Ovis aries: one gene and its partner. The main gene of each other region encodes a partner of the protein of the gene in region 2 in a complex. Links are inferred from orthologs where the notes say so. Each region holds a gene or a part of one and is shown on either strand. Other genes may lie near its edges. The genes, in order: FLT3LG and FLT3.

The links.
Region 1: the proteins of FLT3 (region 2) and FLT3LG are in contact, whole or in part, in a crystal structure (PDB 7QDP), measured with the Homo sapiens proteins. The link is inferred for Ovis aries from reciprocal best matches to the Homo sapiens genes FLT3 and FLT3LG. Residues at the interface, in NP_004110.2 of Homo sapiens: Asp180, His279, Gly280, Phe281, Gly282, Met300, Ser301, Thr302, Tyr303, Asn306, Arg307, Met309, Arg311, Ser333; in NP_001191431.1 of Homo sapiens: His34, Ser35, Pro36, Ile37, Ser38, Ser39, Asp40, Lys44, Lys87, Glu99, Asn102, Thr103, Glu104, His106, Phe107.

What each region holds. Positions count from the first base shown.
Region 1 is NC_056067.1:55,671,286-55,675,027, reverse strand, and holds the end of FLT3LG (fms-related tyrosine kinase 3 ligand), read right to left. Parts: intron 3,338-3,742; coding exon 3,150-3,337; intron 1,038-3,149; coding exon 831-1,037; downstream 1-830. UniProt on the Homo sapiens protein: Stimulates the proliferation of early hematopoietic cells by activating FLT3. Synergizes well with a number of other colony stimulating factors and interleukins. Required for the development of B cells, and dendritic cells (DCs).
Region 2 is NC_056063.1:32,310,382-32,314,195, reverse strand, and holds part of FLT3 (receptor-type tyrosine-protein kinase FLT3), read right to left. Parts: intron 3,722-3,814; coding exon 3,618-3,721; intron 2,635-3,617; coding exon 2,526-2,634; intron 2,265-2,525; coding exon 2,086-2,264; intron 588-2,085; coding exon 481-587; intron 381-480; coding exon 248-380; intron 167-247; coding exon 62-166; intron 1-61. UniProt on the Homo sapiens protein: Tyrosine-protein kinase that acts as a cell-surface receptor for the cytokine FLT3LG and regulates differentiation, proliferation and survival of hematopoietic progenitor cells and of dendritic cells.

The DNA of each region.
Region 1 (3,742 bases), on a different chromosome or scaffold from region 2:
CTCTTCAGCCTACGCTGCAGTATTCTTGAGGGGCTGGTAAGCCTCGCGTGAGTTGCCCGCTGCTTGCTGATGGGTGGGGCCAGGAATTCTGGAGGAGAGGCGGTTACCCCCTGAAGCGATGTCGCGCTGCAGGGCACGTGGTGGCCTGCAGGGGGCCAGGAGGGCTGGCCCTTCAGCGCTCCGCCAAGCCTTAGAGATGTGAATTCCAGTGCCTGTCTGACTTGTGATCTGACTAAATCCCTAGCCGTGTATGGGCTTCAGTGTCCCCACCTGGTAAACAGGTGGAGATAGTCTTCCGCTTGAGAGCTGACGAATGAAAGAATGACTTCTAGATGCCCGAGTGTTCCCCAAAGGAGCTACTCACTTTCTGGATTTTCTGGATAAAGTCTTTGCCTTGAAAGTGTCCCTTGACTGGGATGCCGTCCCCCCACCTCCGCCTCCACACCCCCTTTTCCAAAATCTGGCTTGAGTCCTTCCCTTTAGAGAACCTCCCTGATATCGCTCGGGCAGGCTCAGGTACCGCCTGGGGGATCTTCACAGTGCCTACGCCACCTCCATTAGAGCGTGTGTAATCGGGTACTGGGGCTCTCTGGGGCCGACGTCTTCTCCCGTCTGGACCAGGAATCCTGAGAGGGCGGGGCTGGTTCCGATTCACGTCTGGGTCCCAGCATTGCCCTCTTCTGGCCCTGGGCCCCAGGAGGACTCAGAAAATAGGTATTGAATGAAACATTGTATTAACTGAAAAACCAAACCCGAACCCAGACGGCCCCATACACACACCGTGTCCCATCCACAGACAAACCTGGCCAGAGCTGGTAGAAAATGATGATTTATATACAATTTCCTGGAGACAAGGGCTTTGTACAAAGGGGGGAAGGGAGAGCCGATGGTGGGTGCTGGCGTTGCCTCCATCCCGGGGGAACAGTGACAGGAGCAGTGTGGCCAAGGAAAGGACCAGGTTCTAGCTGACTTCCTCCAAGTTCCGACTCTGTGTCCGCTGGCAGGTGACTGCTCTCTCTCGGCCTCAGTGTTCTCCGCTGTAAAAGGGGATGATAGATGACTCACTGGGCTGTTTGAGGTTCCGTGGACAGAGGAGGGGAAAGTAGGAAGCTCAGGGTACAAGCTCAAGAACAGACTCAATGCTCAAAAACAACTCCATTCACCGTGAGCACTCACTATGTGTTTGGGCATTGCTGTCAAAGAAAACTTAGCGCAATGATGAACATGTTTTAGATCTGTGCTTTCCAAGATAGCCCTTGAGCCCAGCCCCAGTTGAAAACTGGGCATTCCTATTGTGACCAGCGAAACTGAGGAACTTAGTTTTTCATTTCATCTAATTTAAGCTTCAACTAATAGTGTGGTTATTGGGAGCGTGGGAAAACAGGGTATGAAAAGGGACAAGGATAAGAGGACAATTTCTCAATCGAAAATTGTATCTCAAAAACAAAAAGTAGTAAAAAGTACTGTCCAAAACAAATGCTGAAATGAAAAAAATCATTGAATTCAGAAACTGTTCCTTGATCCAATTATTGGAAAACTTCTGTAGGTTTCAAAGAACTTGAGTATAGGAATCTACTTAAGCAACTGTAAGTTTCATGGAATCTTAATATAGATCGAGTATTTCTAATAAAAGTTTCTCATATGAATTGAGATGTGCTGTGAGCATCACATTACACATTGATTGGATTCTGAAAACTTGGTATGGAAACAAGAATGTAAAAATATCTCAATAATTTTTAAAGTATTGATTGCACATTGAGATGACAAGATTTTTGGATACACAGGGTGAAATAACATAAATTCTTTCAGGTAACCTGTTTGTTTTTAAAAGATGCACTGGCACAATGTGGTAAATCAGCTATACTTCAATTAAAAATTAAAAAAAAATATGCAGCTACTAGAAAATTTAAAGTCACATGTGTGGCTTGTATTCTGTTTCCTATGGACAGTAAGTATTGCTCTAGGGGGTTTTTCGTGGTCCTTTCACTTAACCTCCTGACAACTCTAGCGTAAAGGATGATTATGAGTCTCTTGTACAGATAAGGAAACTAAGGCAGAGGAGTGAAAAGCACAGATGCTAGAATCAGAGGGCCCAGAGTCCAGTCTTGGCTGTCACTCAGGAGCTGTGTGACTTTCAGCAAAAGATTTACCTCTCTGAGCCTCGGTTTCCGCCAAAGGGAAATGGGGAAGATAATGGCCACCAGTTTCTCAATTAAGTGAGTTAATTCGTAGAAAGCTTCAGCACAAGGCCGGAGGCACTGAGGCACTCAACAGGTGAGCGATTGCTGCCAAATGTTTCCTTTGGGCGCTTGGGGAACCCACAGGCCCCTCCCTGCCTTTCTCCCTCAGGGTACCACCTACAACCCCAGGTTCCCAGGTTCGCCTCAGGGGCTTCTTGCTTCCCCGGGGTAGGAAGTCCCAGCTTCCCTTCCTTAGGAAGATGTTACCTCAAACATCTTCCAGTGCCATTTTTTTTTTTTTCACCCCACCCCCAGACTGGACAAAGCTGCTAGAATAACCTGAGCTTTTTCATACCTGGAGGGCTTTGCAGAGCCTGTTCCTGGAGGCGGCTCTCTCCTGGCTTGCAGACTCCTATATCCAAATACCTCCCCGCCTGCTGAGCTTCACTGTCTTTCCAGAATGCCTAGTGCCGGACTGTCCCTCCTCCTCCTAGGTTCCGCACTGGGCCAGACCCAGCGTCCTCTGCCCGCGCCCCTCCCCTTCCCTGCTCGCCCCAGACCCCCGACCCCACCACGTCTGTCACTCTCCAGCCCCGTCCCTCCTGACCCCTGACTCTGCCTGTCCCCTCCTCTCCACCCCGTGGTCCTGTCCCGGCCCCTGCTCAGACCCTGTCCTCTCTCCCTGGACCCTCACCCAGCCTCCAGTCTGTCTTCTCAGTCTGTCCCCCTCCATGGTCGCAGAGGGGTTTCCTTACATCCAGAGCTAACCCACTGCTTCCCTGCTCCCACTCTGTCACCCCCTACCCCCATGGCCCCCACATCAACACCAAGTCCAGGGTCCTCCAGTAGCCGCAGGAGCAGAGGATACTGGGGATGGGAGGGGCAGGGTACCGTGTCGCCCATGGAATCCGCCACCTCTGGTCAGCCCCTGGACCCTCTCCACCTGCTCTGCGCACCCCGCTGGCTCACCCTCTCCCCAGGGTAGGGTGTCCTCCGTCTCCTCCTCCACCGGCACAGGCACCAGGCAGCGGCCAGCAGCAGGAGGGCCACCGGCAGCAGCAGCAGCAGCAAGAGGAGCAGAAGAGGGGACTGAGGGGCCGGCAGGGACGTGGCTCCCAAGGCCCCAGGACTCCTTGGGGGCAGCAGAGTGGAGGAGTCTGCCAGGAGAGAGGTCAGGTGACTGAGAAGTAGGGCCAGGCCAGGGAAAGGAAAAAAAGGCCTGCCTGGTGCTGGCTGTGTGACCTGGGGGAAGGGGTGGGGGTAGGCTGTGCACTTCTCTGGGCCTCAGTCACCTCATCCATAAAGTGGGTATAATTATTATACCAACTTCATAAGGTTGTCACAAAGATTAAATGAGGGAATATACAGAAAGTGCTTAGAACAGTGCCTAGCACGTAGTAAGGTTGCATTTCATTGATTTTTTTTTAAGTCACTAATAGGACTTCCCTGGTGGTCCAGTGGTTAAGAGTCCACCTGCCAATGCAGGGGACATGGGTTTCATCCCTGGCTTGGGAAGATTCCACATGCCACAGGGCAACTAAGCCCCTGGGCACAACTGCTTG
Region 2 (3,814 bases):
TAACCATGATGGAAAAGAGGAGGCGGCAGGCGGCACCTCCCCTCTCGGCGCGTCTCTGTACCTTTCAGCATCTTGACTGCGACCTGGATGGAGACCCCTGTCTTACTAATTCCGTAGGCGGTCGCATTCATCACTTTTCCAAAAGCACCCGACCCCAGGACCTTCCCTGCAAGACACGTGTGAGTGAGTGAGCATTCGCTGAGGATTTTCCCACAGGAAGGAAACAGGCGAAACATCCGATTCTTACCAAATTCCAAGTTTTCTCTCGGAAACTCCCATTTGAGATCATACTCATATTCTCTGAAGTCAACGTAGAAGTACTCGTTATCCAGAGAGCCGCTCACCTGCACCATCTGCAGCTGGCTTTCGTAACGAAATTGCTTCCAAGAGGAAATAATGAGTCAGTCAGCCACAGGGCATTCTTCAGATATGGGACACAGTGACGGCTTTTTTTTTTTTTTTTTTAACCTTTGGTTTTACCTTTTTGTACTTGTGACAAATCAGCATGGTTAAAACGGCGATGAAGGGAAGACAGAGGCCAATTGTCGCATAGAATGAGATGTTGTCCTGGATGGAAGGGAAGGGCCCTGCAACGGAAGAGCATCCCGGAGCAGTGGGTGAGAATCCGGAGATCGCAGGCTCGCTAAAACCTCTCACATCCTGCCCGAGGGGCTGTTATTTGTGATGCTTACAAGCCCTCTACACACAGAAGCCCACAGAAAAGTCAGGCCATATTCATATAAAGGACACTTCCTTCCCAGAAAATTTTAGATGATTCCGAACCCATTTTATTTATTTATCTGGCCACACCCTGTGGCTTGTGGGATCTTAGTCCCCTGACCAGGGATGGAACCCATGCCCCCTGCATTGATGCACAGAGTCTTAACCACTGGTAGGTCAGGGAAATCCTCTGAGCCCAATTTAAAAAATCATTTACTAGGGGTTTTCAGGATTACATCTATTTAAACCCATAGGATAGTCAAGCCAGATAAAAAAAGAAAAGAAGAAATCTGTCTACCATATATAAAATAGATAAACAACACAGTCCTAGTCTATAGCACAGGGGACTATATTTAATATCTTGTAATAAACTATAGTGGAAAAGAATCTGAAAAGTCACACATGTGACTGAATCAAGAGTGTTTTTCTGCTAGACATAAAGTAGACAAACAACACAGTCCCACTACACAGCAAAGGGAACTATCAACATATTCTGTGTTTTGTAATAAACGATAATGGAAAAGAATTTGAAAAAGAATGCACATATAAAACTGCATCACTTTGCTGTACACCCAAGACTAACACAACATTGTAACTCAACTATACCTCATTTTGAAAAAAAAAAAAAAGAAACTTGTGTTCCCACAGTGAAGCTGTCATATGAATGTGGGGAAGTTAGTTTGGGGATGCTGGTGATTCTAAACCATTAGTGTAGGCGGCCAGGTTTCAGAATTGCTTAATTTCAGAGGGCTCTAAATATCAAACCAAAAATGATAAAACAGCAGGCTAAAAGGCAAATAAGGAGATTAACTGAAAGGGAAAGAGGTAAAGACTCCAAATGACTAAATCCATCTCCCTGGATCTGGATCTCTGTTTGTCATTGCTGTTGTTCAGTTGCTAAGTTACATCCGACTCTTTGCGACCGCAGGGACTGTAACCCACCAGGCTCCTCTGTCCATGGGATTCTCCAGGCAAGAACCTGGGTTCTCCAGGTTGCCATTTCCTTCTCCAGGGGATTGTTCTGATCCAGGGATCAAACTCGAGACTCCTGCTTGGCACGCAGATTCCGTACCACTGAGCATCAGGGTCGTCAGGGTAGATGCCCACTATACCAGGAGTTTGGGGTACTACCCACGTTACCTGAATTCATGAGTTACAGTAACATCAGTAGAAGTCACTCTGCCCTTAAACTACAGAACATGTATATTCAGTGGGGATTCCTGCCTGACTCAAAAAGCCTTCTCATCTCACACACTGAATCTGCACACTCTTGTAAAACTCCCCCAAATAAAAGCTAAAGACAGGGCCTAACTTCTAGTGGGGAATTCCAGAAGGTGGCATGTTTCAATAGCGACTGCTGTCTACCTGGTGAGCTCAGAAGGATTGTCTCACAGGACGTGCCAAGAGCATTGTAGGCACAACACTTCACCAGGAACCCTTTGATGGCCTCACTCATGTTCAGCGTGCTGCTCGATATCCACTGTCCAAACACTTTCTTGTTGGCCTTTTTATTCCAAATTCCTTCTGTGATTTCTTCTGTGCAGCTGAAAATAAATGGCAGAGAAGTCAAAGGGGCATGACTGTCATCAGATTGGAAGTAAGGGTTTCTCTAATGGGGTTTGTAAGAGACACATCTATTATAGGTTATCAGAAACAATCTGTGATCATTGAGAATTATGATCAACTAGGAAGGTAAGCATTTGAAATGCTCTAGCGTTTCTTCTTAAACTGAATTCACGAGAAAGCGTCAGTACGTCAGAGAGAGTTTCATATTCTAACACAAGAGAGGCCAAGGTCCTCATTACTTGGGGGACTTGTCTGAGCACTTCTTCCAGGTCCAGGATGGTATAGGGTACCCATCAGAGGAGCAAGAAGCCTGACTTGCAGATGCCTCAGCCAGCACTTGAGGCTTCCCTGTAGAAAACAAGAGGAAAACAAGCTCATGGAGCAGTGCGCTTTTCAGAAAGGGTTTCAAAGTCAGGTTTATATAGGCTGCCCATGCACTCTAAGCAGTTGTGCTTCTTGGAGGCTGTCTCAGGCAGGACTCAAAGAGGGGGGTCCTTTCCCCTTGTCCTGTCACCTTCGGTGCAGGCAGCCCTACCACCTCTCTGGGGAGCACCCCCTGTCCATCACTAGACCCTTCCTGGAGAGAATGCAGGTATAGACTCTATCTACTTGGTCACCCTAAAATGAGTCTTAGCTTCAGGAGAAGCATCTGCAGAAAAAGTCCAATGAAAGGTACTCTCCTCTTTTCATAGACCAAAGAAACAAAAATTATTAAAATGACTAAATGGCAGGTAGTATGACTTTTGGCTTTTTCTTAACATGATCTTTCAAAGTACTAAAACCAGTAAAGTGATACACTAAAGCACCTTCTGAGAGGACATGGACTCAGCATCTTCACTTAAAAGGATGAGCCCTCAAAGAGGCCTGTGTATCAACAGAGCCAGGAGATATGAAGATACAATTTCAGAACACTTCCACAGGTCAAAACAGTTTCATCACACTCCTTCCCTAAGCCATTGCTTAGCTCTTTCTGGTCTGAGTTAATACATCATTAAGGAGTCACAAGAGTGAAATAAAATTTCTTGACTACTTCACTTCTGGTTCTTTTTTTAAATTTCGATTTATTTATTTTTAACTGGAGGATAATTGCTTCACAATATTGCGTTGGTTTCTGCCATACATCAACATGAATCAGCTATAGGTATATGTACGTCTCTTCCCTCTTGAACCTCCTCACACCTCCCACTCCATCCCACCCCTGTAGGTTGTCACAGAGCCCTGGTTTGAGCTCCCTGCCTTATATAGCAACCCCCACCCCCGGCCATCTAATTTAATATGGTAATATATGTCTCCATGCTACTCTCCCCATTCATCCCACCCTCTTCACTTACTTCTTATATTCAGTGTGAACTCTTTGGTGAACTGGGCGTCATCATTTTCTGCATGGAAGATATACTGTCCTGGCTGGTGTTTATGGTTGCAAAACTTAGATATGCTGTTGGAAAGAGTTAAAGACAGACTTAGCCAGATTCTTTGAGGAGATGCTGAAATGAGTGATGGTGTGCTTGGGAAGAGTCTCCCTGGAGAC